Canis lupus familiaris: one gene and its partners. The protein of the gene in region 1 purifies or fractionates together with the protein of each later gene. This does not show direct contact. Links are inferred from orthologs where the notes say so. Each region holds a gene or a part of one and is shown in the gene's direction. Other genes may lie near its edges.

What was found.
Region 2: the proteins of IKBKG (region 1) and MALT1 purify together in Homo sapiens (affinity purification with western blotting; 4 studies listed by BioGRID and IntAct, with this or other methods). This does not show direct contact. The link is inferred for Canis lupus familiaris from reciprocal best matches to the Homo sapiens genes IKBKG and MALT1.
Region 3: the proteins of IKBKG (region 1) and MAVS purify together in Homo sapiens (affinity purification with western blotting; 4 studies listed by BioGRID and IntAct, with this or other methods). This does not show direct contact. The link is inferred for Canis lupus familiaris from reciprocal best matches to the Homo sapiens genes IKBKG and MAVS.
Region 4: the proteins of IKBKG (region 1) and HSP90AB1 purify together in Homo sapiens (co-immunoprecipitation; 4 studies listed by BioGRID and IntAct, with this or other methods). This does not show direct contact. The link is inferred for Canis lupus familiaris from reciprocal best matches to the Homo sapiens genes IKBKG and HSP90AB1.
Region 5: the proteins of IKBKG (region 1) and TRAF3IP2 purify together in Homo sapiens (affinity purification with western blotting; 3 studies listed by BioGRID, with this or other methods). This does not show direct contact. The link is inferred for Canis lupus familiaris from reciprocal best matches to the Homo sapiens genes IKBKG and TRAF3IP2.
Region 6: the proteins of IKBKG (region 1) and USP10 purify together in Homo sapiens (affinity purification with western blotting; 3 studies listed by BioGRID and IntAct, with this or other methods). This does not show direct contact. The link is inferred for Canis lupus familiaris from reciprocal best matches to the Homo sapiens genes IKBKG and USP10.
Region 7: the proteins of IKBKG (region 1) and MAP3K14 purify together in Homo sapiens (affinity purification with mass spectrometry; 6 studies listed by BioGRID and IntAct, counting the BioPlex papers as one, with this or other methods). This does not show direct contact. The link is inferred for Canis lupus familiaris from reciprocal best matches to the Homo sapiens genes IKBKG and MAP3K14.

What each region holds. Positions count from the first base shown.
Region 1 is NC_049260.1:123,433,066-123,436,762, forward strand, and holds part of IKBKG (NF-kappa-B essential modulator), read left to right. Parts: intron 1-1,731; coding exon 1,732-1,884; intron 1,885-2,408; coding exon 2,409-2,505; intron 2,506-3,628; coding exon 3,629-3,697. UniProt on the Homo sapiens protein: Regulatory subunit of the IKK core complex which phosphorylates inhibitors of NF-kappa-B thus leading to the dissociation of the inhibitor/NF-kappa-B complex and ultimately the degradation of the inhibitor.
Region 2 is NC_049222.1:17,460,671-17,464,367, reverse strand, and holds part of MALT1 (mucosa-associated lymphoid tissue lymphoma translocation protein 1), read left to right. Parts: intron 1-115; coding exon 116-265; intron 266-2,568; coding exon 2,569-2,726; intron 2,727-3,697. UniProt on the Homo sapiens protein: Protease that enhances BCL10-induced activation: acts via formation of CBM complexes that channel adaptive and innate immune signaling downstream of CARD domain-containing proteins (CARD9, CARD11 and CARD14) to activate NF-kappa-B and MAP kinase p38 pathways which stimulate expression of genes encoding pro-inflammatory cytokines and chemokines.
Region 3 is NC_049245.1:17,973,535-17,977,705, reverse strand, and holds the start of MAVS (mitochondrial antiviral-signaling protein), read left to right. Parts: upstream 1-1,309; 5' UTR 1,310-1,328; intron 1,329-4,171.
Region 4 is NC_049233.1:12,844,852-12,849,285, forward strand, and holds the start of HSP90AB1 (heat shock protein HSP 90-beta), read left to right. Parts: upstream 1-1,596; 5' UTR 1,597-1,614; exon of another isoform or gene 1,615-1,625; intron 1,626-2,654; exon of another isoform or gene 2,655-2,818; intron 2,819-3,600; exon of another isoform or gene 3,601-3,926; intron 3,927-4,245; coding exon 4,246-4,392; intron 4,393-4,434. UniProt on the Homo sapiens protein: Molecular chaperone that promotes the maturation, structural maintenance and proper regulation of specific target proteins involved for instance in cell cycle control and signal transduction. Undergoes a functional cycle linked to its ATPase activity.
Region 5 is NC_049233.1:68,474,407-68,478,552, reverse strand, and holds the start of TRAF3IP2 (E3 ubiquitin ligase TRAF3IP2), read left to right. Parts: upstream 1-1,239; 5' UTR 1,240-1,373; intron 1,374-1,716; exon of another isoform or gene 1,717-1,818; 5' UTR 1,819-2,011; intron 2,012-4,146. UniProt on the Homo sapiens protein: E3 ubiquitin ligase that catalyzes 'Lys-63'-linked polyubiquitination of target protein, enhancing protein-protein interaction and cell signaling. Transfers ubiquitin from E2 ubiquitin-conjugating enzyme UBE2V1-UBE2N to substrate protein.
Region 6 is NC_049226.1:68,257,949-68,261,645, reverse strand, and holds part of USP10 (ubiquitin carboxyl-terminal hydrolase 10), read left to right. Parts: intron 1-877; coding exon 878-1,918; intron 1,919-3,697. UniProt on the Homo sapiens protein: Hydrolase that can remove conjugated ubiquitin from target proteins such as p53/TP53, RPS2/us5, RPS3/us3, RPS10/eS10, BECN1, SNX3 and CFTR.
Region 7 is NC_049230.1:18,179,103-18,182,799, forward strand, and holds part of MAP3K14 (mitogen-activated protein kinase kinase kinase 14), read left to right. Parts: intron 1-358; coding exon 359-463; intron 464-2,645; coding exon 2,646-2,809; intron 2,810-3,284; coding exon 3,285-3,435; intron 3,436-3,697.

The sequences.
Region 1 (3,697 bases):
GAGCAGTCCGGGCACAGGGACCATCCTTTGCAGTATGGGGGTCACGTTGGCGTAGGGGACTCGCCGCAGCCCGCAGCCCGCCGCCCAGGTGCCCCCCGAGGGCCAACTTCGCAAGTGGCCCGCTGAAGCCAGCGGCCGGCCAGTTGCTCTTTTCTGCGCGGCGGGGTTCCCGTAAGCGGCTCCCCGGGTCTGAGGCACCAGTGCTTCCTCGGCTCTCACGGCCCCGGGTGCTGCCCTCCAGAGAGAAAGGTGGACCCCCGTGGTGGCGGCAGGGCTGCCTTCCCCCCAGGGGAGGGGGCAGGATGGTGTTGGCCGTCGTCCACGCTGGGGGGACCTTGTGGACGTGCTTCCATCTAGAAATCGGAGTGTGAGCAAAGGTGTCACAAGGTTGTGCTTGCTCGCCTTGGGCTTGTCGCGTTGCTGTTTGCCCCTGTGTCCCCCCACCCCGCCCCGGCCTCCAGGTGTCTACAATCCCATGTGTTGTTTTTAGGACAATTTGGTGTCCTTTCTGCCTGTTTTCTGTGTACGTGAAAGAAACCGCTGGGGTGGGGCGTCCGGGTGGCTCAGTGGTCGAGTGTCTGCCCTTTGGCCCAGGGCGTGATCCCGGGGTCCTGGGATCGAGTCCCACATTGGGCTCCCCACAGGGAGCCTGCTTCTCCCTTTGCCTGTGTCTCTGCCTTTTCTATGTGTTGCTCACGAGTAAATAAGTAAAATCTTAAAAAAAAAAAAACCGCTGGGGGCAATTTTGGTCCATTAGCGACCATGCACAGACGTCAGCAAGTGTGGGCTCCCAGGCAGTGTCCTTCTGTGTCCTATCCCCTGTGGCTGGCCATATAGATGGTAAGCTGGACAGCTCGGCCTCACAGCCCTGCTGGTGTCTCAGGTCCTTCCGTGTGGCCCTTTGAAGAGCTTCACGCCTCTGACACACGGAGGTCCCCCGAGCCTGGGGTCTGTCCTGCGGGAATGGCACTCACCCTTGCGCCGCGCCCCGGGCAGGCAGCGGGCCCACCTGGTGATGACCACGTCAGCTCACAGATGGAAACGTGCTCAGTCTGTTTGGACAGGTGTGGAGAAACAGCGAGACCAGCGATGATCCCCAGCAGGCCCCACCCCCTCCCGCCCTAGCAGCCCCTGTCGCCTCTGCGGTGGGGTGGGGACCGTGCAGGGCCTGGGGCCAGCAGGATGACATGGTTAGAGATCTGGGGAGCTGTGAGAAGATAGGAGACTGGAGATGGGAGATTGGGGGCTAGGGGGTGCTAGGGCTTAGAGCATGGAGGGCCTGGTGAGAAGAGACGAGCTGTGGCACCATTGCTGTCACCCAGCCAGGCTGGGGAGGCTCCTCTTGCAGGCGGATGCATTTGGGACTGCAGCTGAGCCATGGAGGTGGGTCAGCCGCCTTCTTGCCGCTTCTAGAACAGTGACTGGGAGGGAAAGAGTCGCCCCCAAGCTGGCTCTCTGTGGTTGTCCCATCTCTGGTAACCGTGTGTCCCCCCTGCCCCCCTGACATCCGAGAGCCACGTCCTTTCTCACGGCAGATCGGCTGTGCGTTGGCAGGATGTTCTGAGCAACTCCTGCCCCCGTGACGGCGCTCTGCCTGCAGGCCGCAGAGCTTCCAGGGCCGTCGGGCTTCGAGCTCCTCCTCAGTGCCGCGGGGATCCTGTGAACGCCCCGACACCCTGCCCCCCACTCCTGCCGAGGCCCTCCCGTGACCTCCCCCTTCCCCCGTGCCAGGGCCCGGGCTGCCAGCGAGCAGGCCCGGCAGCTGGAGAGCGAGCGGGAGGCGCTGCAGCAGCAGCACAGCGTGCAGGTGGACCAGCTGCGCATGCAGAGCCAGAGCGTGGAGGCGGCCCTGCGCATGGAGCGCCAGGCTGCCTCGGAGGAGAAGTGAGTGGCTTCCTGCCCCCGGGGGGACAGAGACCAGAGGGCCATCGGGGGCTTTCTGCCTGTCAGCGAGCCCGTCTGCGGGCCGTCCCTTACCGTCATCACACCTACACGATCCATCTCTGATGCGATGGTATGTGCTCTTCAGTCCACGTCCGGACGCCCCCTTTGGGCCCACGTGGCAACAGCGTCTGGTCCCAGTCCCTGCATTGCATCCGTTGGTGTGCCTTGGAGTCTCCATTAATCTAGAACACTTCTCCCACATCTCTGTGTTTTTCACAGAGTTCACTTTTTTGAAGAGCCCAGGACTGTTCCACTTTATTATAGACGGTTCTTATTTTTAAAAACGTTAGCCTTAAACAAAGGGATACTAAGCATTTAGTAAAGCCTGTCTTAGGGCTGCTGGCCTTGAAGGCACAAACGCACCCTGCAAGCAAGCCCCTTTCTGGTCTGTGGACATGAGGAGGAGGACCGTGGAGCGGGGTCAGGACAAGGTGGTTTCTCCAGCAAAGGCTCCTCTTCCTTAGGCGGAAGCTGGCCCAGCTACAGGTGGCCTATCACCAGCTCTTCCAGGAGTATGACAACCACATCAAGAGCAGCATGGTGAGCAGCGAGCGAAACCGAGTGAGTATGGTGGGGCTGTCGCGGGGACTGTAGGACTGACTTTGCTTCGCTTCCTCTCCCTGCCGCCTAGAAACAGCAGAGCTCGGGACCTGCTGCCACTGATTTAGGGCCATGGGAGCTCAAGTTCTTATTTGAACACTTGCCAGAATTTGATTTTGGGGGGGATGTTTGACTTGTCGTAGACCTTTGTCAAGGTCGCAGTGTGACAGCTCAGCGCGGGTGGTGGGAGACTGGGATCCTAGGGCTGTGCTGTGTGTGGCCTACGGTCCCCTGGGCCGGGCCTCTGGCGGCGCTCTGTGTGGCCTGGGAACATGCTTGTCTCCGTGGCCAGTCCTTCCCACCAGCTTGGCTCCTGGCTCAGAGATCCCAGAGCCAAGGTGAGGCGTGGGACACTTCATCACACTACTGGGAGTGGTGCTGGGAGCCCTTTTCTGGTTGGTTTTCATCAGACCTGTACTGGGTGCAATGTCAAGTGATCGCGTTTTAAGAAGGATGCTGTCAAACCCGAATGTACCCAGGGGACATCTCTAAGGCTTGTAAGGGTAACACCTGACACCGACCACACCAGGAAGAGTTAGTTACACAACTGTGGCCTTTCGATCTGCAGGAGGAAGGCTTGCTGGCATGTGTGGCTGTGTCTGTGTGTGCATGCATCTGCGTGTGTGCATGGGGGGCTGAGGGCATCTGGGAGGGAGCAGCAGACCTTTGTAGGATGGCAGGGTGGCAGGACCCACAGGTCTCAGCTTCGTGGCGGCATGTGGTGGACTGTTAGCACGGGAGAGCAGCTGAGCGTGGAGGGGATGGCCTCAGGAGGGAGGATGGCCCTGTCCGCTGAAAGGTTAGAGGTGGGCTGTCCGGCTGGGGATTCTGGGAAGGGAGTGTTGGCCTGGGTGGGAAGTTGTGCCACATGATGTCAAAGGTTCCCTGTAGCCTCTGCCTTTCCTGTGCCGTGCACGCCCTGTCGTCTTGTGCTCTCCACCACTCCAGGGTTGGCCAGCCAGGGCCCATCTTTCATTGATTCCTTTTGGTTCTTCTCACCTGGAGCAGCAGCCGGCCTGGTGGCAGCCTGGTGCCTGCCACGGGCCAGTTTGGGCTCCTGCAGTTCCCCCTTGCCCGTTCCTAGGGAATGCAGCTGGAGGATCTCAAGCAGCAGCTCCAGCAGGCCGAGGAGGCCCTGGTGGCCAAACAGGAA
Region 2 (3,697 bases), on another chromosome or scaffold:
TTGTTGAGTGCGTGAGTGATACTGAGGCCGTAACTGGATTTGCTGGAGAATTCTTGACTTAAATATTTTAAACACAGAAAGATTGTGGTCTTAATACTTATTTCTTATCTTTCAGATATGGGGAAATGTCACCTTACCAAAGGCAAACAGGCTCTAGAGATCCGGAGTAGCTTATCTGAAAAGAGAGCACTTACTGACCCGATTCAGGGAACAGCCTATTCCGCAGAATCTCTGGTTCGGAATCTACAATGGGCCAAGGCACATGGTATGGTGACGTCTGGCTTTTTGTGAGATTTTTCTATACTATGCTGCATTAAATGATGAAGGAGATTTTTTCTCTCCTGAATAAATAGTTTTCCTCTTGATTTTGTAGTGAAAATATTTTAGCCTGGTGGGCAAACCCAAGACTAAACAACTTATGTAATATACAGTCCCTTAGATCCTATTCTTTTGTGAGCTGTTGGAAGTGTGCTATTTGAAAAATCAGACAGGTTTGGGTTCTGATCCTGTCTCTACCACTGGATAAGCACGTTACCTATAAATGGGGACAAAAAATAATACCTGGTAAGGTTGCTGGGCTTGAATGAGATCACACACGTAAATAGAGAAGCACGCTCGTCAGCAAATACTACGTGCTCATAAATATTACTGAGTATTCTCTGTCTTTGACTCTTGAATCCATGAGTCAGTGAGCAAGACAATAGAAGGTGAGGTGGAAATCATACCCGTAACTTCATTACCCTGGGTAATTCTATGTGACTTAGTGAAAAAGTAAGTTTAAATTATTGACCGAAATGAAGATTTTAGATTTGTTGTGAGTCCCAAATATCTGTATTATGTATCCCTTACTGTAGATAATTGAAAGTTGTATTCGTTGAACTTCTATATAATATCTTTCCTTTTCTAATAGTCTGTTCTCTAAGATATATTTTTGGTAAATATGTTAAAGCACATTAAAATAAAATGCCACAAATATAGTGTCTTGGTTTTTCAGATAGTTGGATAAGTAATTGAAATGAAAAAAAAAAAAAGAAAGAAATTGATTCTTTTCCTTTAAAAAAAGCCCTAAACAACAACAGTAACAAAATCGTGGTGGTAAAAATCAACAGTAAATACAACCTTTATGAAATGAAACAAAGAGAGCATTTCTTTACTTGCTGTGTGAGATGCTGCTGAATTCATGAATTGCCTGCCTAATAAAGCCAATTAGGACTTCGCATTAAAAAAAAAGAAAGAAACTTTAGACATGGGCTCGTCCAATATTTTTATCTGTTCTTTACTTTGAACTATGCCTGGCACATACTAGGTGTTCAGGAAAATAGTTGTTGAGTGAGTAAGTGATACTGAAAACATCACTGGATTTGCAGGATAGTTCTTGGCCTAAATATTTAAAACATAATGAAAAAATTGTGGTCTTAAAATAATACTTAATTCTTATCTTTTAGATATGGGTAAATGTCACCTTACCAAAGGCGAACAGGCTCTAGAGACGTGGAGAGTTTGTCTAGAAAGAGCTTTTTTTTTTTTTGTAACAGATTTGGTATTTTTTATGTTAAAGAGCGCACGCAAAGTGGTAAAAGGAAAAACATTAAGACTCCCTCAGTTAATCATCAAAGGATGCAAATTCAGCCTACACAATTGAGAATATATTAATAATTAAGAAACAAATACAGGGTGGCACAGCGGTTTAGCGCCTGCCTTTGGCCCAGGGCACGATCTTGGAGACCCAGGATCGAATCCCACGTTGGGCTCCCGGTGCATGGAGCCTGCTTCTCCCTCTGCCTGTGTCTCTGCCTCTCTCTCTCTCTCTCTCTGACTATCATAAATAAATAAAATTTTTAAAAAATAAATAAATAAATAAGAAACAAATACAGAAAATGGTAAACTTAAGTAGTAATTAGAGAAAATAAAATTAAAACTATGATAGTACAGTTTTTCCTTTTTAATACCATCAACTAGGTACACACTTTGAAAATTAATGTTACTTCATTTTGGAAATGTTATGGTGAGATCTATTTATATTCTATATAAAAGGAGATGTCACATGTGTGAGGGACCTTCGAGTAGCTGTATCTAATAATCCTAAAGCATTAAGTACATATATATTCAAAATAATGACTATGATAGAAAAACAATTAAACCCAGAAATACCACAGATACTCAAGAGTAGTGGAATTGTTCAAAGTAACAAATATTCAGTGACATTATGCTTTCTTAACTGTTTTCATGAAGATTGAGGGAACAGTGAAAATTTATCTACAACTGTATGGATACTTTCGATTCCCACTGTGAAAGTTACATATGCAGAGGGATGAGAACTATAAGGAAATAGTCAATGAAAGATTCTTATTTGCTTGACCAGCAGAACATGGGGCTTTTTTTTTTTTTCTCTTTCTTTAAGTGCATGCATGTGTGTCTGTGTGTTTTTCAACAATGTGTTATAGAACATTTTTAAGCGAAAGCAGAAGCTCTCACTATATTTTGTCCCATAAAGAACAATTGCCTGTTGCTTATCAGAACACTTACCAAGCACTTCTCAAATAAGTTGTTCTTTTTGTTCTTTTTCAGAACTCCCAGAAAGTATGTGTCTTAAATTTCAGTGTGGCGTTCAGATTCAGTTAGGGTTTGCCGCCGAGTTCTCCAATGTCATGATAATCTACACGAGCATAGTCCACAAGCCACCCGACGTGGTGATGTGCGACGCCTATGTCACCGATTTCCCTCTTGTAAGAACCCCCTTTCTTCTTTTACTCAAAATAGGACGGTATAGCGTCACTTACTAAAGACTAAACATATGGAAACTTAAAGTTGATGGTAAATTTAAAGGAAATATGAGTACATATATATTCCATTTATCTAAATACTTATTTGTATTTTAGTATTATTAGTATTTAGCATTAGTCTGTTTTTCATATTTAATATATATTACATTTAAAAACTAACCCCCCAAATATGCTAAATTTATCAAATTTAGGAATGGCTAAAGTTCACCTAGGAAAGAAGCCTTTAATTTCCTTAGCCCTGAGGAGGATATCAAGTGTGAAGAAGTAAAATTATAGTATATTGGAAGCATAGAAATTTAGTTGTTTTTTCTGAAAATTAAGATATCATCATTTATTTCATTTATTTCCGTTGGCCTAAAGAAGCCAATAAATAGTGCTCCTCTTTCCTACATGACTGTAGTAAATTGAGAAGTAAGCAAGGAGCAAGACAAATCCAGAACATCACCCTTGCTACTGATAAAGGCTTCACAGAGGACACTGCTTTGTGTGAGAGCAAACGGTCCAGCCCTGAACCCCAGATTAGACAGGTCTGTCTACCAACCCTGACAGTGCTGGACTCGCTTGGGCCTCCTGGGCGTTGGGCAGGGAGAGCCTGAGGCCTTCTCTCTGAAGTTCCAGAACAGATCTCCCGCTCTCAGCCAGGGCTTGGCTCTTAGAGAAGAAAAAGGGAAGGGCTGCCTGTATGTACACGTCCATTTATTCTTTTTAAATATATGAATCATGTAAATCCCCCTACACCTTCCCAAAAGTGTTGAGTGAGCAGGAAGAGAATCCAGGAGTCACACACTAACAGGGCTGGAACCCTAAAGGAAGCTCAAGTGGACTAAGAAGTACTCCTAGGGGTAGTTTGAAAGTAACTAGCCTTGCAGAGCTAACTTTTTAAATGTATCTGTGCACAATTTAGAATTCCTGTT
Region 3 (4,171 bases), on another chromosome or scaffold:
TTTTGTACTTGACTCTGCTAGCAGTGGTGCCCATTTATCTGGGGGAGACTCATCCATGCTGTGTATATGAATTGTTTGCTCTTTTTCACTGCTGCATACTATTCCACAATGTGACCACACCACAGTTTATCTCTTTATTCTGCTGATGGACCTTTGGGTCGTTCCCAGAGTTTGCCTATTGTGAACAAAGCCACTATGAATATTAGCTATTGTGCATGTGACACACACCTAGGAGTGGTGGCTGGGTGATAGGCTTGGCATAGGTTTCACTTAAGAACTGCCATTTTCTGAATCTTTTATTTATTTATTTTTTAAGATTCTATTCATTTATTTGACAGAGAGAGAGCACAAGCAGGGGGAGCAGCAGAGTGAGAGAGAGAAGCAAGCTCTCTGATGAGGAGGGAGCCAGATGCGGGTTTGACCCTAGGACCCTGAGATCATGACCCCAGCCAAAGGCAGACCCTCAACTGACTGAGCCACCCAGACACCCCTGAATCTTTTAATATTTCTTAAAACCAGGAAAAATAAACCTCTACCTGGTGATTGTCTGAGTATTTAGTGGCTTCTAAGGTATAAGACTTTAAGCCTGTACCTGGAACACAGTGGGAGGCTCAGTAATTGCTGGCCTCAGCCCCAAACAGAGGAAGGGCCAGGCAGCTGGCAGGCGCTGTGGGGAGGTACCTGGTCCAGACCCTTGGGCAGAGAAGCCTTTCCCACACAGCACTCAAGACCCACAGCCAGCAGTCTGGGCAGCCCGAACTTGGCGCCCCTGCCCTGCTCTCACCTACCCAGCCTCCTCGCACTGTGATCCTGCTTCCTCAGGCCCAGCATTGGTGTCGCTTCCTGTGCACTTTGCGTATCACTCGATATTTATTGGGCACTAACTTTATGCCAGGCCCTGGGTGCCCCGGTACAAATGCCATAAAGACCCTCCCCCCTCAAATTACTCAGGAGGAGTGATTGCTTGGCGTAGGAAGCATGGGGACCCAGCCGAGCACTGACTCCGAGGTCGGTCAGCCACTTGAGTTCTAGCCAGATTCTGTATTTCCCCTGGAAGTTTGTTCTGGACAAACAAAATAATCTGATCCTCTGCGCCCCAGCAGGAGCCTAGGTCTGCCCGGAGCGCCTGTCCCGCGGGTCCAGGCCCTCGAACCACTGCCAAGCGCCCACCCCCGCGGCCCAGTGGCTCAGGCTGGCCGCCACGCCCCGCCCCCGCCGCCTGGCCAATGGCCTCGCGGTCCCGCCCCTCTCTGCCGCGCCCCCTCCTGCAGGGGAGGGTTCCGGGGTGTCTGCGGAGGTCCGCGGGTAGCCGGGTAGTGGCTACCGAGGTAAGTTAGCCGTCCCGGGCGCGGTCGGTCCCCTGGGCTCTGGGCGCGCCGATGGCTTTCGGAGCGGTGGTCAGCGGAGGCAAGAGCGGAGCGGGACGCGGAGCCCACCGGGGCGCACGGGGGTCCGGGGACGGGACTGGCTGCGCGGGGCTGGGTTAGAGCCGGTCCCGAGGCGCCGCGCTTCGCGGCAGCGCCGGGCGGGGCGGGGGGGCGTGGGTCGTGTGCTCGGGCGGGAGGGGAGGTTGGGGGAGCAGACAGGCGCTGGCTGCTGAGTGCCTCCAGCGCCCCGCAGGCCGGGGGTGACCCTGGGGCGAGGCCTAACCTCCCGGAGCTGCGGCCGCGCCTAGAGGCCGCCGTCCTCCCCCGGGCCTTGACAGTTCTCGGTGGTGACATCTGACCAGAACAGCCTCCCTCCCTCCCTCCGCGGGCCTGGTTCCTTCCAGGAATTGGAGCCAAATCAGTGAGGCCTCGCCTCTCTCCTCCGGGTGGTTATTTCTTTCCGGGACGCACTCAGCGCGTCCGGGGCATTCAAGGTAGGAACTTCTCGCAGCGTCAGTCCGCCCTTCTCTGAGACCGGAAGGAGCTGCTAGGAAAACATTGGGGGAAAAAAAAACACAACCAAAAAACGACGTTCTGTGCACGCTGTGGAGCCTTAAAAACTTCTGGAAGGACAGTCAGCGATCTGAGAACTGCGACTGCCGAACAGGGCAGGTTAGCATGCAGTCAGCCTTGTCTGAATGATTTACATACTATTCCTACAAGAGAAGGGACTACGTCTTTCAGCCTCCCTGGCACACCCCCATCTGAGGACTCCCCTCACCCAGGCAGTGGCCTTGGTCCCTCTGGGGCTGTGAGTCTCACTTGTTGCAGCAGCCCCTATGTTCTGTAAGGTGTATGGTGAACTGCAATGAGACAGCAAGTCCTGGGTTCAAATCCTGTTAGGGCCACTGGTCTGTTTGTACAACCCAGCATCATTTCTCCTCTCCTAAAGGAAAGAAAATTAGAATGTGCCTGCCTATAGTAGATCATGAATAAATATGAACAAATATGGGCTTCCTTCCTTTTTGGTTGGAGCATGTTCTACTTCCATACCCCCCAAACTCTTGTCCTTAGGGCTGCGGCTCAGATGCAGAAGAATGTATCACCTGACTCTATCCTTGTCCCTCCCCACATGCCATGGAAAGAAAGGAGAAAAGCGTCATTTAGCCACCTTAGAGTTCTTTGCTCATCTCCTGAACGCTCAGAGGACCCCTGCCCCATCTTCTTGAACCTCTTGACTTCTGTCATTGACACTTGCCACACCAATAATGTAGCACCTGGTGGCTGACAGAGCAAGGCATGCCACATGAGGCTATGAGGCCAGCAGACAGGACTACTGCCCCATTTCCCATATGGGTGACAGACTGGTGGCCCCAGCTCTGCTCTGCAACATTATCTTCTAGAGTCCCACCCAAGCCACACACCCACATTTTTGCTCCAGTCTGGCTCCTCTTCTGACCCCTTTCTTCCCAGAAAACCCACTTGGACATGTCATAGTGTCTCAGACTTGAGACACTATGATCACCTGATCAAAATGGAGCTTTGGAATCCTCTCTGCACCACAGCTTCTCCACCAGGTTCTCTGGCCTGCCTAAATGGCACCATCCATCTACCTAGTGCCTGAGGAGTTATCCTTGATTCTTCTCTCTCCCTCACTTCCCACATCCAGGACCCACTAGGAATCCAGCCACCTCTCACCATCTCCATGGGCAGCATTCTGGCCATACCCATCCTGTGGCCCCCTGCTTCAGCCTCCCAATTGTCTCCCTGCTTCCATCCTGGCCTCTGTACAATCCAGGTCCTCACAACTACCAGAGAGGTCTTTAACATAAGTCAGATCCTCTCCCTTCTCTGCTCAGAACCCCCAGTGGCTTCCCATTTCACTCCAAGAAACCCCCCAAAGCAAAAATAACAACCCCCAGAGTCCTTTCCTGCAACACTGCACATGAGCCACCACTTTTCAGAACCTCCTTGACCTTGATCCCTTCCCCTCCCCTTAGCTTTCTAAACCTGGACCACCCAGACCTGCTTTCTGTTCTTCAAACATGCCAAGGTCATTTCCACCTTAGGACTTTTAAATTGCTGTGCCCTCCGCCCAAAATGCTGATCTTGCAGCTCAGAATGGCTCAGCTCAAATGTCACCAATTCAGAAAGACTTACCTGACCACCTCTGTTCATGCAGCACGTCCTTCTCCAGGGATTCTGTCTCAAAACCCTGGTTTATTTTCTTCATAACTTGGTTACTATTTGGAATTCTTATTTATGTACGTGTTTACTGATTTGTTATCTGTCCCACCCCAATAGAATATAAATTGGATGATGGCAGAGATCTTGTCCCTCTTATTCCCTGCAGCTCTCCCTGAGGGGGAGGCAGGTAAGGAACTCACAGACAACCCCATCTATAATTGCAAATTGTGGTAAGTCCTACCTAAGCAAGTAGTAGCAATTGCTAGTAATTGAGGCACTTGTAAATGTCAGGCTTATGCAGTTGAGCTACTGTATTGTCAAAACAAGCCCTCTGAGTCATTTTAGGGGTAAAGAGAAGACTGTAGAAAGCCGGTAATTTGCCCTAGATCATACGGTGAGTGGAACTAGCCTCCTATCCTAAGAACATGTATGTGGCAAGCTTTAATGGTGGGCTTGCGGTCATGTTCTGGAAAGGACCTGACCTCTGATCTTTGCTCTTCTGCTAACTAGCAAGCCCCTTAATTTCTTGGTACCTCATTTTCTTGACCTTTAAAGTAGGATGATCCTATTATTATTTTGGGGCTTTTTTCTCTTTTTTCTAGTGTACCCCAAAGAAG
Region 4 (4,434 bases), on another chromosome or scaffold:
GCCTTCAGTGGCTTCCCTCACTATAAGTTCAGGTCAAGATGTCTTAGCACAGCATTCATGGCCCTCTGTGAACTCTCCCTGCAGGGCCACTTTCAATGCCTCTGCCTCTCTTGGGGCTCCCAGGCTATGGTCCTTCTGTCAGGGCTGTGCCATTCCATGCTTCTCCCTCTTCTGGGACATATACCTGTGCCAGGGACTGGCCAGCCTTGGCCCTAAGCCTGTCCCCTGCCTCAGGCTGAGCTGGGAGTCTGATATTTCTCCTGTTGCTATGGTTCACACTTGGCCTGCTGCAGCCCTCTAGGGGCTGAAACCTCCATCTTGTTTCTGCAATTCTGCATCCCAGGAACTCACTGTGGGGGGCTTAAGTGAGTGTCAGCGAGTGGGAGAGCCTTCCAGAAAAGACAGAATTTCTGTGCTAGTGCGTGATTTGAGATCTTCCCATTAGAAGACCCCGGGAGTCTCTGGTCTTAATACTGATCCACAGGAGTGATTTCTGCTGCTTTGGACTTGGGTCCTGGGAAGGGAGACAGCATTGCTACTCCATTCCTGGAGCAAGGAGCGAGGGTTGGTGCAACAGAGGCTCTGAGCTGACTGATCTCACTGAAGCCTTGCTTTCCCAGTGAGAACGGGAGACTCACTTTTACCTCTTCACAGTATTGTGAAATAGTTTGAATGCTCTTTGTGAACTAGGGAGGTTTTTAATTTTCTAGGCCCCTTCTGCCCAGAAAGAGAGAGGGTATGTTGAGGGATGACACACTTCGTTTGAGATCTTGATCAGGAACAGAGAATCCTGGAGGATTCCTGGCAACAGCACCCACAGCTCTTCCCAAACACATTAACTTCCCCAAGTCACAGATTTCTCACACACCATTAAGGAGAATAGGGGGCAGCCCGGGTGGCTCAGTGGTTTTAGCGCCGCCTTTGGCCCAGGGCATGATCCTGGGGACCCTGGATCGAGTCCCACGTCTGGCTCCCTGCATGGAGCTGCTTCTCCCTCTGCCTGTCTCTGCCTCTCTGTGTCTTCATGAGTAAATAAAAATCTTTAAAACAGGTGTGTGTGTGGGGTTGAATAAAAGAGTAAGGAGAAATATAGGAGTGGTGGCTGTGGCTGGGTGATGAGGTCTGGTGCTTGGGGAAAAGATAAGGAATTGGAAGGTCTGTTCTTCGGAATTTAACATATGAATAAGGAAATACAAAGGAAGGAAGAAGGCTGAGGAAGGACGGCGGGCGGTGGTGCCGGAGGCAGCCCCTCCCCAGGATTCCAGGGAACGACCCTGTGGGCCAGGGAGAAGTGGATGGACCCCTACAAGGTCACAGAGCAGCAAGAGGCCATTCTCTTCCGGAGGGGCCGTGGGTCCGACGGCATTCCTAGGGGAGGCCTTAGGTAGACAAGGACGGCTTCCCCTCTGGAAGGCGCGCGAAAGGGGCTGAGCCACGGCGTCCCACAGCTCTCCCGGCCGACTAACGGCTCGGGAGCGCCCGCGCCGCAGCTGGAGGGGAACGACTTCTGGCAGCCTGCAAGGGGGCCCGCTCCTCCTCCCGTCTGCCGGCCGCAGGAGCGAAGAGGGCCCAAACTGAAACCAGATGGGGAAACAGCTCCGTGTGCTCACGCAGGGAAGACGCAGGTCTCCGGGTCCCACTCACTTGGGCGGATGCACAAGTAGGGGAGGGTCCTCCTCCCCGCCCCCCGCGATGGCGAATGCGTCCCCGGGTCTCTGCGCCCCGAAGGCGGCGCCAGCACCACCGCCCCAACAGCCCCAGGCCGTGGGATCGATGGCGGGGGTGGGGGGGTCAATCTTTCCCTTTATGCTCCATCCCACTCCCGAGGGAGCGCTGGGCTCGCCGAACCGGCAGGTGGGAGATGAGGGTCCCCCCCGCGGGCTCCCAGGTTAATAGGGGAACAGCCCGCCTCCTCCCCGGGGACCGCGGCGGCTGCGGACACCCGGCCCAGGCCGCAGAGGGCGGGGCGGCGCCTGCACGGAGGGGGCGGGGCGGGGGCGGGGCCGCCAAGGCGGGTCTGGAAACTGCTGGAAGTAATCGCAGTACCACCATTGCCGCTCCTTCCGCCGGACGCGGGCAAAGAGTCCCCCTGCCGGTGCCGGCCAGGGCCCTTCCCCCAGCCGGAGCCACACCCCGCCGCACAGCCGCGGCTTTCGCCCACTGCCCCTGGGAGGGCCGGGGCGCAAGGCCTCCCTGAGGTTAGACCCCGGATTCCGCACCGTCCCTAAGGAAAACTGCTTCCCCTTCTCGGGTTGTGGGGGTCTGGAGGGCAGATTGTAGCAAGAGTCGAACCCGGGAGCCGAGGTCGGAGCGGTTGGCCGCTTCTATCCCCGCCCTCCACCTTTATAGGTGTTCCTCCAGGCCAGGACTCGAGTGGGGAGGCGCCTGCCTCATGGTTTATAGGAAGGCCAGTGGCACCCGCACCCCTAGATCCCCCACTTATTTCATATGAAATAAGACGTTCCCAGTCTTTAGTTCTCGGAGGGAGCTCATGCCTTGCAAAAGCAGAGATGTACTTGCGTACTCTGAAGGCGGAGACCGAGACCGGCGGCCCCCCCCCCCCCGCCCGCCCCATTTTGGGCCATGACGTCAAGGTGGGCGGGCAGCGGCAGGTGCGGGGCTGAGCTGCACCCTCCTTTAAGGCGGAGGGATCCGGGGGCCGGCAGCTGGTCTGTGCTCCGCCGTATATAGAGCGGCCGGGGGCGCACAGCCGCTCTCTTGAGTCACCCCCGCGCAGCCTTGGTTCGGCGTCGTAGCCGGACGCAGCCCCTGCCCGCCGTGGTCTGTAGTGCTTGCAGCTCTTCCCCTTTAAGGTAAAGTCGTAGCTATTTCCAGGTTTTCCTGCCTGGAGTGCTCTCTTGAGTTGCTCTCGTTCCTCGTTTCCTTTCTAAAGCCTGGGTTTCGTGGAGTGGGAGCGGCCTGTGGGATGGGACGACTCCTAACTGCTTTCGGGGGTGGCCGGGAGGGGGACCGCGAGCTAGACTTGCTTTCTCACCCGTGCCTGGTGGCGGGCGTCCCCGCGGGCGGCGCCTGGCGCTGGGGGAGGTGGGCCGCGGCGCGGGCTGGGGGTGGTGGGCAGCTGCACGTGGTGTCCGCGCCGGCCGGGACGCTGCCATGTTTGCCCCTCCACTTCCGGACGCGGCTACGGGGCGCCGGAGGGTCCCCGCGCGTTGTGGGTGTGCGCGCTGGACGTGACTCAGCACGGCCCGGGGCTGGCCTGCCCGTGCCGCCTGTGCCATCTGTCCCCTGGGACGCGTTTTGCAAGGGTTTTCGTTTTTTTTTTTTTCTGTGACCTTCGGCGAGCAACGTTTGACGGCGGTCTCTGGCCCATAGTGCTTCCTCTCCTTCCAGATCTTTCCTGCAGTGTCGGTGTGGGGGAGGGGAGTGGAGGGGGCAAGCTCGGGAAGATTCATGGGCCCTTTCCTCCCCCGCCTCTCCGAAGAGCTGAGATTGTTCTGGAAGCTTCTGGAACCCGGCGCCCCGCCCTGGTGCCCGGATGCTGGGGCGAAGGGAGGCTGCGCGGTGGCGCCCCCTCCTCGCGTGGCCCTGGCCGACGCACGTCCGGCAGTGACGAGGGTCTGCCCAGCGGACGACGGCCACCATCTTGGTTATGTTTGGTTTGGTCCCACGCTGTAGTCACGTGTGCTGGGGTCGCGATGGAGCTTCTGCCTTAGCGGTTCTTTGTCTCAGCCGCTTGGGCGGGTATCCACCGGCCCCGGGGGTAGTCGGCCCCTGCGCTCCAGGGTGCTTGATGTGGGAGACCCCCAGCGGGAGAGCCAATTGCGAATTCCTTTTAACCCGAAATTGGTCGCCTCGGGCTACCGTTTGTCCTACCAAAAGAAATAGAGCCGTATTCAGTGCTTTTCTCTTGAAAATTATCTGGAGTCCTTTTCGTGTTCCTGGATCCGATCTGCATTTTCAACGAGGTACTCGGTGATGCGGAGTCTGTTGGGTCCCATGGACCACTTAGAGTACTTAGGCTCCAAGGTGTTTTTCCAAAACGCTTTTGACGTCGTGTGTTGTGTTAGAGAAGCTTTTAAAAATTCTTCCTGAATTGGATTTCCACTAAGGGTATAGGCTGAAATCATTGAGGGAAAAGTTTTCTAGTTTTTCAGGAATATGTCTACTATCCAGCCCAAAGCAATTTCAACTAAAAGCTGAGTCTTCGTTGTGAGTAGGGTGAAACGGAGTGTTACCTATGGGGCCACGGTGTTCTTTTGTAATTCTTGACTGTTCTTATTTTAGATGCCTGAGGAAGTGCACCATGGAGAGGAGGAGGTGGAGACTTTTGCCTTCCAGGCAGAAATTGCCCAGCTCATGTCCCTCATCATCAATACCTTCTATTCTAACAAGGAAATTTTTCTTCGAGAGTTGATCAGTAATGCTTCTGATGTGAGTGCTTTGGGCACTTTTGTTTATGGTTTTTGTTTTTAG
Region 5 (4,146 bases), on another chromosome or scaffold:
AGTTTACAGCGTTAGGCTGCTTTTCAGTGAGGGCCGCAGCAGAGGCCCGAGGGAGGAAGCATTAACCCATTCTTCCAAGTGCAGGCCTTTCTGTTCAGGATAAACGAGGAAGGCCCGGAAGGCCCAGCTAACAGCAATTAAGAGCACCCAGGTCAGCTCTTGGTTATCTTCCCACAGGGCCCCTCAGGCCTCTCATCTGGGGAAACGGTAGGAGAAATAGGGAAAAAAAAAATTCTCCCTATCCTTCCTGACGGGTCGTATTCCAAAGGTTAACACTTGACAAAAGCATCTTCCGGGCTTTTCCCAGTGCATTGAAGGGATCTAAGAGAAACGAAAATGATTTTCACCCCGCCTCTTTCCTTGGCTCTCCTTGTTTCCTCCCCTTGACATTCTTTTCTTCTCTGTTCTCCAAGTATCCTGGTGCCAGCTGCTGCAACAGAGTATACTATTTTTCCCTAAGCTAAAAAAGATTATCATCATAATAATTTTGAGGCATGAAGTTCAAGGCCAAAGTAATAAATATTATTTTTTAAGAAATATGCTTGCAGAAAAAAAGAATCAAATAGCCCATAGGTGTAAATAGTATAAAAGTCCTCCATTCTCACGCATTCCCCTCAATCTCAGTCCCTAGAGGTGACAACCGCTTAACAGTTTGCATGCATATTTCCAGACATTTATGATTTATTCATTCGACAGATACAGAATGATTGCCTACTATCTTCTGGGCACTGTGTCAGGTCCTCAGCAGCAGAAAACAAACACCAATCTACGTATGTAAGTACATGGACATGTGTATGTGGCATATATATTGGCAAAAATGAGATCACGTTTCTCAATAAATAATATCCCAGAGCCACTTTTCCGAGTTAGAATGTAGAAACACATGCATACGTACTTATGATTTTTCACAGCTGCATAATATGCCGTTGTAAGAATATATATGTATATATGTAACATTAATATTTATATATATATATACACACACACAGCCTGTTATGTTATTTTAAAAACCAGCCGTGTTTCCTCTGCTCACAGAATGAAGAGCAGCCCATTGCACGGGACCTACCCGAGCAGAAGCCGGCAGTCTGGAAGGGGGTGCTGTAGGGTCTGTCCCCTGCAGGAGGGTGGAGAGCCGGCCAGCTGCCCGGGCTGACCCTTGGGCCTCTCCCACGGGCAGGCAGGGCCAGCCCCAGAAGCACGCAGTCCCTGCCCAGGCACCTGGCTGGAGGGCCCGGCCACATCCTTGTGACTCCGGAGCCCTGGCGGCCACAGCTCCCATCACACTTGGCTGCCCCGGTCATCCCGTCTCCAGCATCCCCTTTGACCTTCACTTCTGCAAGTTGAACAAGGAGCAGGAAAGAGAAGAAATAAAGGTGAGTGAGGTCGTGAACAACACAGCCAGAGGAGGACAGTGCGCATATACGTGCAGGTGTGTTTTCTTAAAAGGTGTCACCTTTTCAGGCCTGTCGACGGCAGGGCGCGTGTGCCCGCGTGTGTGCAGGCTGGGAGAGGGGGGGCGAGCCCAGCCAGAGGTCGGTGGTGAGCAGCCCTGGCCTCGCAGGGCACCGGGTTACCTGCCCCCAGCCTCCACCTCCGTAACCTCCAAGTTCACCCCACCCCATCCTCCCAGGCCCCCTCCTGGCTGGGGCGAGGGCCCCGACGTGCGGGCCGTGTAGACATTCCTCCACGGTTACTTAGCTGGGTGGTGGGAGCACAAATGCACCCTAATTGGCCAGTCCGGGGCCTTTTCTAGGGAATGAAGGAGGTTTCTGTTTCAAGAAATAAGTGACTTCTCGGCTGTTGATTCACTGCCCGCAGGGAGATTTTTCAGCGGAGGCTTCCGAGCCTCTCTAGAAATTTGCATACAACTTCCCCTTCCTGCCGCGGAGCCTGCTCGGCCGCGTACCTGGCCGGGAGGGAGCGGGAGGCGGGAGCCGCCCAGGTGGAGCCCGGGAAGGAGGGAGCCGACCACCGCGGCCCTCGTCGTCCGTCTGTCCCCGGGGGCGCCAAGGTAAGCCGTCAGAGCTGTCGCCGGCCTCGCCTTGCTTCCTGGCCGCTGACCCTCTCCCCACACCCTGTGTCCTCCTTTGCTCCCCCCACCTGCCCCTCCCCACCTTGAACTTGCCCGCCCTGGGCCGACGGTCCAGGCCGGAGGAGACCGTGCTGGTGGCTGAGGTTTCGGGCCGGCAGGGGCCGAGAGGGACTCTCGGAGGAGGGGTCGGTGCCCCCCGCTGTGCTGGCTGGGAGCCACCTGGGAGCTACCTGGGAGCCACCCGGGAGCCGGCCGGGGCAGGCCTCAGTGTCCCCGCGAGCCCCGGGGAGGATCCAGCCCCACGTCCCCAGGAGGGAGCCCGGCCCGGCAAAACTTAAGTCGTTGGCCTCCAGCCCCGGGACACGTCAGTGGCAAAGATGGAAGGAAAACGCACAGTTTTCTGGAACCTCGTTTCCTGCAGGGAAGAGTTGGACCCCGCTTCCCGGGCGGGGAGGCTCAGGCCAGCTCCCTGCCGGCTGCCCGCCCCCACCCCCCCCAAGCAGCCCCGACGTTTACTGGCAAGGAAAACCCGGGGGAGAAATGCTTGTTCTTGATCTCAGCAGCTAATCAAGCTTTGGGTGACTTCCAAGTCCAAAACGATCTCTTAGAATAGGGGGATTTTTAAAAAAGATTTTATTTATTTATTCATCAGAGACACAGAGACGCAGAGACACAGGCAGAGGGAGAAGCAGGCTCCCTGTGGGGACCCCAAGGGGGGGGACTTGATCCGGAGCCCCCCAAGGCAGACGCTCAACCACTGAGCCACCCAGGCATCCCTAGAATAGGGGAAATCTTTTTAAGGGATGAGGGGAAAAATACTAATTTTCCTATTAAACAAATATCTCAAAAAGAGGACAGGGAACTTGGTTTCAAGTCCTCACTCCACTCCTTGCTGGCTCTGTGACTTAGTTCACTTTGGTTTCCCTAGGCCTGGATTTCGTCAACAATAAAATGTGTGTGAGGGTGGACCAACATGATTTTGTCTGAATTCCCTCTAACAAAAATAAAGCAGGAGTCGTGGGAGTCACAGAGGGGGAGCCGTAATGGGTGGTCTTGGAAGACTTGTTTTGTTTACTGACTATTCAAATATATTAATTTTACCGCCTGCTACTACTACATGGTTAGTTCCTTGAGGAACAGGATTGTTGCTTCTTAATCCTCTTCCACCCTCCTCCACCCAGTATAGGATCAAACGCTTCATAGGTGCCCAAGCTCTTTTCTCGCAGCAACGTAAGCTGCTTTGATTTCTATTTCACTCACCTGCTCCCAAGGCACAAGGTAAAAAGCACGGTCAGGGCCAAAGACCGGGGGTGGCTGGGCGGCCACGTGGCTCTGCGTGACGGCTGCCCGGAATCCAGGCGTGTTTATTGGCTCTTGCTACAATAAAACAGGGGGTTTCTTGGATTAGTTCATGTCCCAATTGAGTTCCCCAGGAAAAACCATCCTGTGCTCTTGCCCACAGAGTCCAGGCAGGCGGGAGGACTGGCAGGCCGGCCTGTCTCCAGGAGGCTGCAATCCTCACTTAGCTGGAGCTGAAAACCACTTGTGGGCGTGGGCGAGACCAATCACTGGGGGAGGCTGGGGGAACTTTAATGGGAGGTGAAAGGAAGCCGCAAAGCCCACCCTGATACCATGTAAGGGTGATGACCGTGATCCGACACGTCAGATGACAGACACAGGCGCCTCAACCTTTTCCAAACCACTACTTTATTATTATTTCTTTGGGGCAGTTCTGTATTTGTCTATACAGACAGGCTCTGGCGACTGGGACGGGCTGACTCAGGGCATTAAGCATTGCTTAACCGGTTTGTTGGAAAGGCCCTGGTACAGTCACTGTCATGTTCTCACTGGCTTTCTCTCCCTCCCTCGCCCCCGCCCCCGGAATGAGAGGACAGAAATGTCAAGATGCTTCAACTGCGACGAGTTGCCGATTGTATTTTCAAATAAGTATTTTCAAATAACGCAGCCCCATTATCGGAACCGAGGCTCGCTGCTGCGGGGCCAGCCTCGCTTTCACCCAGAAAGACCACCCACCGTCATTCCTAATCTGGTGTTGCAGCTCCAAGGGGTGCCGGGACTGCTCCCTGCTCCTCCGGTGCGGGGTGGGCTGTGGG
Region 6 (3,697 bases), on another chromosome or scaffold:
ACTGATGCTTGACGTCTCTTGAAAGATGCAGCTGATTCTATAACTTAATCAAATTTTAGAAATGTGAACCAGGAAAAAAATGTACATTTTGTAACGGGTGGAATGTGTAGATTGTCTGTACTCCCAATAGCCAGTTGGCAGTAGCCAGTACCGAAGTATTCCAAAGAGAATTTTCAGAGGTTGCAGTCCTAATTGTCTTGGTATTTTTGAAAGTATTTTCACTACCCATGGAATTGACCCACTGTGAACTCATTAATGTACATTGACATGCACTTACGTCAGGCCCTCTTCAGACTTTAGGGAGGGTTGTCAGTGGAGAAGATCAGGAGATGGAGGGTTCCAGAGAGTGCCTCTGAAGAACACCTTTATAGAGAGGGGAATTCTTGGTGTAGTGCATACTTTCTGCATGACTCAATCACTAGTTAGAGAAGCCATAAATAGAGTAATAACTTTAAATGCCTAAGGTATTAGTAATGATTTTCTTTTTAAATTGTCCAAAATACATATACCCTAGTTTCAGTCAGAAAATAAGCCAGTAAAATCAGATTTCATTGAGGGGTGTTTTTAGGCAGAATATGACGTGCTTTTTATTATTTCATTTACGTTTTGACCTCTTGAAAGTCTCCCTTAGCCACTCTAAGAGCGAAAAATGAATACAGTCTTCTGGTTTTCTAGCTCTAAAATTAAATATGGTTTTATAGTTACTGTTTATTTTTGGCAAATTATTTGCCACAGAAATGAACTGTCCTAGCTGTGTTAATTAGAAGACTTTAAGGATTTAGTTTCAGAAAGAAAATAATTATTGAGACTTTTATAGTTTGTGTAGCTGTGTTTGTAACTAATGGCATATTGACTGATCATTTTTTTTTCTAAACAGGACAAGAATATCAGAGAATTGAATTTGGTGTTAATGAAGTAATTGAACCCAATGACACTTTGCCGAGAACTCCCAACTACAGTATTTCAAGCACATTGAATCCTCAGGCCCCTGAATTTATTCTCAGTTGCACAACTTCCAAAAAACCCCCTGATGACCTAGATAAAGAAGCTACCTACAGCTCAGTTGACTGCCAGTACCCAGGCTCTGCCCTTGCCCTGGATGGCAGTTCTAGCGCGGAGGTTGAAGTTTTAGAAAGTGATGGTGTTTCGGGTGGTCTTGGACAAAGGGAGCGTAAAAAGAAGAAAAAACGTCCCCCAGGATATTACAGTTACTTGAAAGATGGTGGTGAGGGTAGTATTCCCACGGAAGCCCTGGTCAATGGCCACGCCAATTCGGCAGTCCCAAACATCGTAGGCTCAGAGGATGCAGAGTTAGTGGGTGAGGTGCCCCCATCGGGGACGCCCAGGACTTGTAGCAGCCCTCAGGATTCCACGGACTTCGTCAGTGACGCTGTGCCTGGTGGGCCTTTCCCTGGAGCCCTCGATGGTGATACCAGGACTGCAGGGCAGCCTGAGGGCTGCCACGGGGCTGACTTGGAACAGTCCTGCCTCTCTACGGAGGCTGGCAGGGACAGCCTGTTGAGGACAGCTGTGGCTCAGCCTTACATGGGAACTCATACTACTGAAAACCTTGGAGTTGCTAACGGACAAATACTTGAATCCTCCGGTGAGGGCTCAGCTGCCAACGGAGTCGAGTTGCACACTGTGGAGAGCACGGACTCGGACCCAGCTAAGGCCGAGAGCACTTCCCCTGCTGCCGACACCCCGGCCTCTGTGGCGGGCACTGCTCCCACCAGCCAGCCTAAGTCATGGGCCAGCCTTTTTCATGATTCTAAGCCCTCTTCCTCTTCACCTGTGGCTTCTGTGGAAACTAAGTATTCCCCTCCTGCCACATCTCCCCTGGTCTCTGAAAAGCAGATTGAAGTCAAAGAAGGGCTTGTTCCAGTTTCAGAGGATCCTGTAGCCATAAAGATTGCAGGTATAGTTCAAAAGATACAGGTCGGAAGTGAAGATGGGCGCAGATCTGAGGCTGTCTGGGCTGATAATTTGTGCTAGATTGTTACCCAAAGCAGCAGTCGGTGTGTTCATAGGAATTTCTCAAGAATGTCTGTATCTTAAATGCTATCTGTCTAGAAGGAAAAGGATGTCTAAGTATAGTGTGGGTCGGGGTGGGGTGGGGTTGGGTGCAGTTCCTACCTTTATGTTAGGTGAACAGTCCATGTCTATTACCATCAGTCCTTCTCTGTTGACAGAGTGCTTTTGATCCAGTAATTTTGCTCCAGCAGGTGACTGAATGTACTTGTCCTGTGTTAACACCTTCGTGTACATTTGCTATGTAATCCTTGATTTAGACTCCTTTCGCACTGTTTCTTTTCTGTATTTCTTAGATGTAAGAAAGCATTCGGGCTTTTTTCTTATTATTGTCTATTTTGGATTGAGTTAATGGATTTTATTACTCAGTTGTAGAACACCAAGGTCAGCCCTTGACAGGAGAAGAAAAACTGCAACAACCTGGGCCAATATTTTAACCTCAATATGAGAAATGCATTAGTGGGATGCTTTTAAAAATTTGCCTTCTAAAGTCAAAGTTATGAAGGTGTTCTACTTTTGTTCCTAAAAATTATTTCACAAAAGAAAAAAACCTCCGATTTCTGGGAAATTTTCTCAGTATTCATTTAAAATAAGAAAAAATTCATTTTAAATGTTTTGAAATATTTTTAGTCCTGTAACTTTAAATGTGGTTTGACGCCTAGTCTGCTATCTTGTATGTTTGTTAAAATCTAACCTGCTGAAATCTGTTAACGTGCAGGTAAACTGCTCTGGAGGGCTCTCAGTTAATTGTATTGGGGGAGAGCACCACCAGGCATAGTCTCAAGTATTTTTGAATTGAGATGGTGCTCCCAGCAGGTTGATTTCCTTAATCCTAGTTTGATTGGTCCAGTTAAGAAGATGTTTTAATTATCCGAGCAAAAGTGTAGTTTTTAAAAAATACTTCATTCTTTTGAGCCTTTTTATGGAACCTTAGGAATATGGAACGTAACTGCTGACAGTTTTGAGTGTTGCTTCCTGTAAAACCACGCACCAGAGGCCCTGGCTAAATGACTTTTGGGATCACACACAGCTTAGGTGAAGTAGTACTGCTTGGGATTTTTCCTCTTTGTCATATTCTCCTACATAGAGGTTTAATTTATAAAAGTGATGAATAGTATTCAGTTTGTTATAAATAAGATTCACTACAAACTTCCCTTGAATGAGCATGCTTGTAAGCATAGGCCCACTTGTTTTAAACTGCATTTAACTGTGTGAGATTCTAGTTCCATTAAAAGATCTGTTGATTGACATTTGTTATCGTAGAATTAGCCTTAGGATCTAACTGGTTCTACTAGAAGAGTAATTTTTATGTTTATTATTACATTTATTAACTTTGGGGAAAGAGGCAGAAGGGAGCAGTTTAGTCATCAAGTTTATTCTTTTTTGAATTTTTAGAATAATGTCAGTATCCACAGTTGATCCCTTTTTTTTTTTTTTTTTGAAGCCCAGGTTCGTTTAATTTGGACGTCCATATTTCTGGATTCTTTGCCCTATCATTAAGTCTGTGCTTCATAAATGCCAGCTAATTTTTGTATAACCACCAGTGAAATACAAATTTGGGGGACAGACCAGCTATAAATAAAGATGAGAACACCATATAAGGCATTTTGAACAGAAATACAGCCATCTTGTGATTACTTGTAACTGTTTATCCTGTTACTTTAGC
Region 7 (3,697 bases), on another chromosome or scaffold:
AGGGCTATGCTGGTGGGACGGGGAAGTGTGCTGACCAAGCCCTCAGCCTGACACCATAGCTGCCAGTGGCAGATCCAGCTCCTATAGGCCCATGACCACTGGGAGAAGGCAGGGGGACAGTAGAGCTGAGTGGCAGCAGCCCCAGGAGTAAACTCTGTCCCTGTACCTCAGAGATCTGCCTGCTGCCTGCCTCTAGCCTGAGCTGATCACCCCCTTCCCTTCCTCATGACTAATGAAACTAATTAGAAGCAGCAACTGCCATGTAGGGTTGGCCAGAAACTGCCTCCCTGGAGGTCCAGAGTGGGCTGGGGCCTACACTGACTCACCTGTTCCTCCTCTTCTCTGGGGTGGCCTGCAGCTGACAACGTGCTCCTGTCCAGCGATGGGAGCCGCGCGGCCCTCTGTGACTTCGGCCATGCCGTGTGCCTTCAACCCAACGGGCTGGGGAAGTCCGTGGTCACGGGTAAGCCCTGCCTCCACTGCCCTTCCAGGATGACTAGCAGGGGCCTTTGCTCAGTCACCCCAGGTCTCCTGTGCGCTTGGAATGGCAGTCAGAGAGTAATAGAGATGCAAGTGTTCCTTGTCTACCATTCTGTTTCAGCCCTCCACAACTCTAGGTTCTCAGAAAGCTTTTGTTAGGTTTCAACACAGGAATGAGCATCAGATGCTGATATTTTCAGATATTCCTGTTCCACAGAGAAGGGAACAGAAAGGCTGACTGCCCTGCCCCAGGTGTCCTGCCCAGGCACCTTCAGAGCTCCAGCTATCTTCTATAGCCTTTTCTGGATGGCTATGCTCCCAGCCTGTGGCTGTGGCCCTCTTGGGCCTCTGAGCATGGTTTCTGGAAGCACAACAGGAGGGCTAATGGGGGGTCGAGGCTCTGTAGCTGGAGAAATGTTTGTTCTTAGATTATTAAAATAATCAAAAATAAAAATAAAATAAAATAATCCACATCCATTGTAAAATATTGGGCAACTACAGAGTCACGTGGTCTAGAAGAGGTGAATAGAACCCACTCTGCTCCTCTTACCTGGAGAGATGATCATGAACATTTTACATAATTCCTTCCAGGTTGTCTGTCTTTTTTTTTTTTTTTTTTTTTTTACCTGTACAAAGTTAAGGCTGATATAACCCAATTTTGTGCCCTGCACTTTTTTTTTAAGATTTTATTTATTTATTTGACAGAGAGAGAGTGAGAGAGCACAAGCAGGGGGACCAGAAGAGGGAGAGGGAGAAGCAGGCTCCTGGCTGAGCAGGGAGCCCAGTGCTGGGCTTGATCCCAGGACCTAAGCTGAAGACAAGATGCTTAACTGACTGAGCCACCCAGGCACCCCTATACTTTGCTTTTTTCATTTAGAGCATTAAGCATAAAATTATTTCTTCTTGACCGAAAGAAAAACAATCTTTTAGAAGTGATTCTGTTATAAAAGGACTGTGTTGATCATTCTAAAGACGTAAATTCTAATGGACATCTGCCCTTCACTTTAAAATAGTGAGTTTTTTTCTTATTACAAAAATAGTCCTTTTCTAAAATCTTTTTTTTTTTTTTTTAATATTTATTTATTTATTTATTCATGAGAGACACAGATTGAGAGAGAGCACAGACACAGGCAGAGGGAGAAGCAGACTCTATGCAGGGAGCCTGATGTGGGACTCGATCCTGGGCCCCCAGGATCATACCCTGGGCCGAAGGTGGTGCTAAACCACTGAGCCACCTGGGCTGCCCCTAAAATCTTTTGTAGAAAGTAGAACTAAGCAAAAATAAAAAATTCAAATCACCAGAAGCGGGGGGAAAATTTCACATCTGGTATTGATCCTTCTAGTCTTAAGACTAGAAGTCTTTTGGGTTTTTTTTCCCATGCACTGAAATTTCAGGAACATCAAACCATTAATTAGGCTCCTGCAACCTGATTTTCAATGTCCAGGCCCCTCCCCAATTTTATTTTATTTTATTTTTAATTTATGATAGGCACACAGTGAGAGAGAGAAAGAGAGGCAGAGACATAGGCAGAGGGAGAAGCAGGCTCCATGCACCGGGAGCCCGACATGGGATTCGATCCCGGGTTTCCAGGATCGCGCCCTGGGCCAAAGGCAGGCGCTAAACCGCTGCGCCACCCAGGGATCTCCCCCTCCCCAATTTTAAAAAGCATTCTAAAGGGACTCCTGGGTGGCTCAGGGGTTGAGCACCTGCCTTTGGCCCAAGGTGTGATCCTGGAGTCCTGCATTAGGCTCTGTGCATGGAGCCTGCCTCTCTCTCTGCCTGTGTCTCTGCCTCTCTCTCTCTCTCTCTCTCTCTCTCTCTCTCTCTCTGTGTGTGTGTGTGTGTGTGTCTCATGAATAAATAAATAAAATCTTAAAAAAAAAAAAAGGCATTCTAAAGATTTGGTCCAAAGGGCCGAGCCCCTATTTTGGGTGATGTGTTCTTTGTACCAGTTCCCAGTGGAGCCCCTGACTTAGCTCATCCCCAGCAGGTTTGATATGGAAGCTTCCTTTCTGTCTGAGATACTTTAACAGAGATAAATTCTAGGTTTTTCCAGGTATTTTCACTGAATTGACTCAATGGCCAGGGAGAGAGGGGGTCATTGCCAAGGCTCTTACCCATCAAAGTTCATAGTTGGCTTTCCGGTCTCACCCCACCTTCTCAGGAGACTACATCCCTGGCACGGAGACCCACATGGCCCCAGAGGTGGTGATGGGCAAGCCCTGTGATGCTAAGGTGGATGTCTGGAGCAGCTGTTGCATGATGCTTCACATGCTCAACGGCTGCCACCCTTGGACCCAGTACTTTAGAGGGCCACTCTGCCTCAAGGTCAGTGACGGCACCTGGGATGGTGAAGAGGGAGAGCCAGCAGGGCCACAGGGCCCAGGCTGCACGCTTAAGGTGGCCCCCATTTGGTCTGCTCTTGGGTGGCAGATGGCAACAGGAAGAGGCCTCATCATAAATGCGGGATCCTAACTAAAATGCTTGCCACCCAAATCTGCAGGCCCAAGGAGAGATCCTAAGTGAGGGATCCCCTTGAGTTCATGGCAGGTCGGGGCTCTCCTCCACTCATACACTGTGCCATCTCTGCTGCCTCCCTATGGGCTGGTCATGGGCACCTTGCCATCTGGCACTGGCCTGGCCCACCTGGCCCCTTTTCTCCTTTTCCTTGGAAAAGTCCCAGCCCTCTCAAGTCTTTTTGACCAACCCCAGGGTAGGGGAGAGTGGGGAAGAGCAAGAACAGAAAGCTGCATCCTGGGAAGTGAGGGGGGACAGGCCACACATGTTGCCTTCTGACCCACAGATCGCCAGCGAGCCTCCACCTGTGAGGGAGATCCCACCCTCCTGCGCCCCTCTCACCGCCCAGGCCATCCAGGAGGGGCTGAGGAAAGAGCCTGGCCGCCGTGCATCTGCAGTGGAGCTGGGGGGAAAAGTCAGCCTGGCGCTGCAGCATGGTAAGAGCCCCCCACTGGCTGTAGGGGCACGGGACCCCACAGGGTAGTGCTGTGGTCAAGGGCAAGGACCTCTCAACCTCTCAGAGCCTTGGTGTCCCCATCTAGAGCATAGAGAGGACACCCGCCTTGGGCTTGTTAGAAGATGGTAGTGTGAGTAGAAGTGCTTTGTACTGCGCCTCGCTGCTCAATAGATGGGGGACAGGGACTACAACATACAAAGAGGGCTCAAGCCCATTAGTCATTAGTGAATGTGAAATAAAGC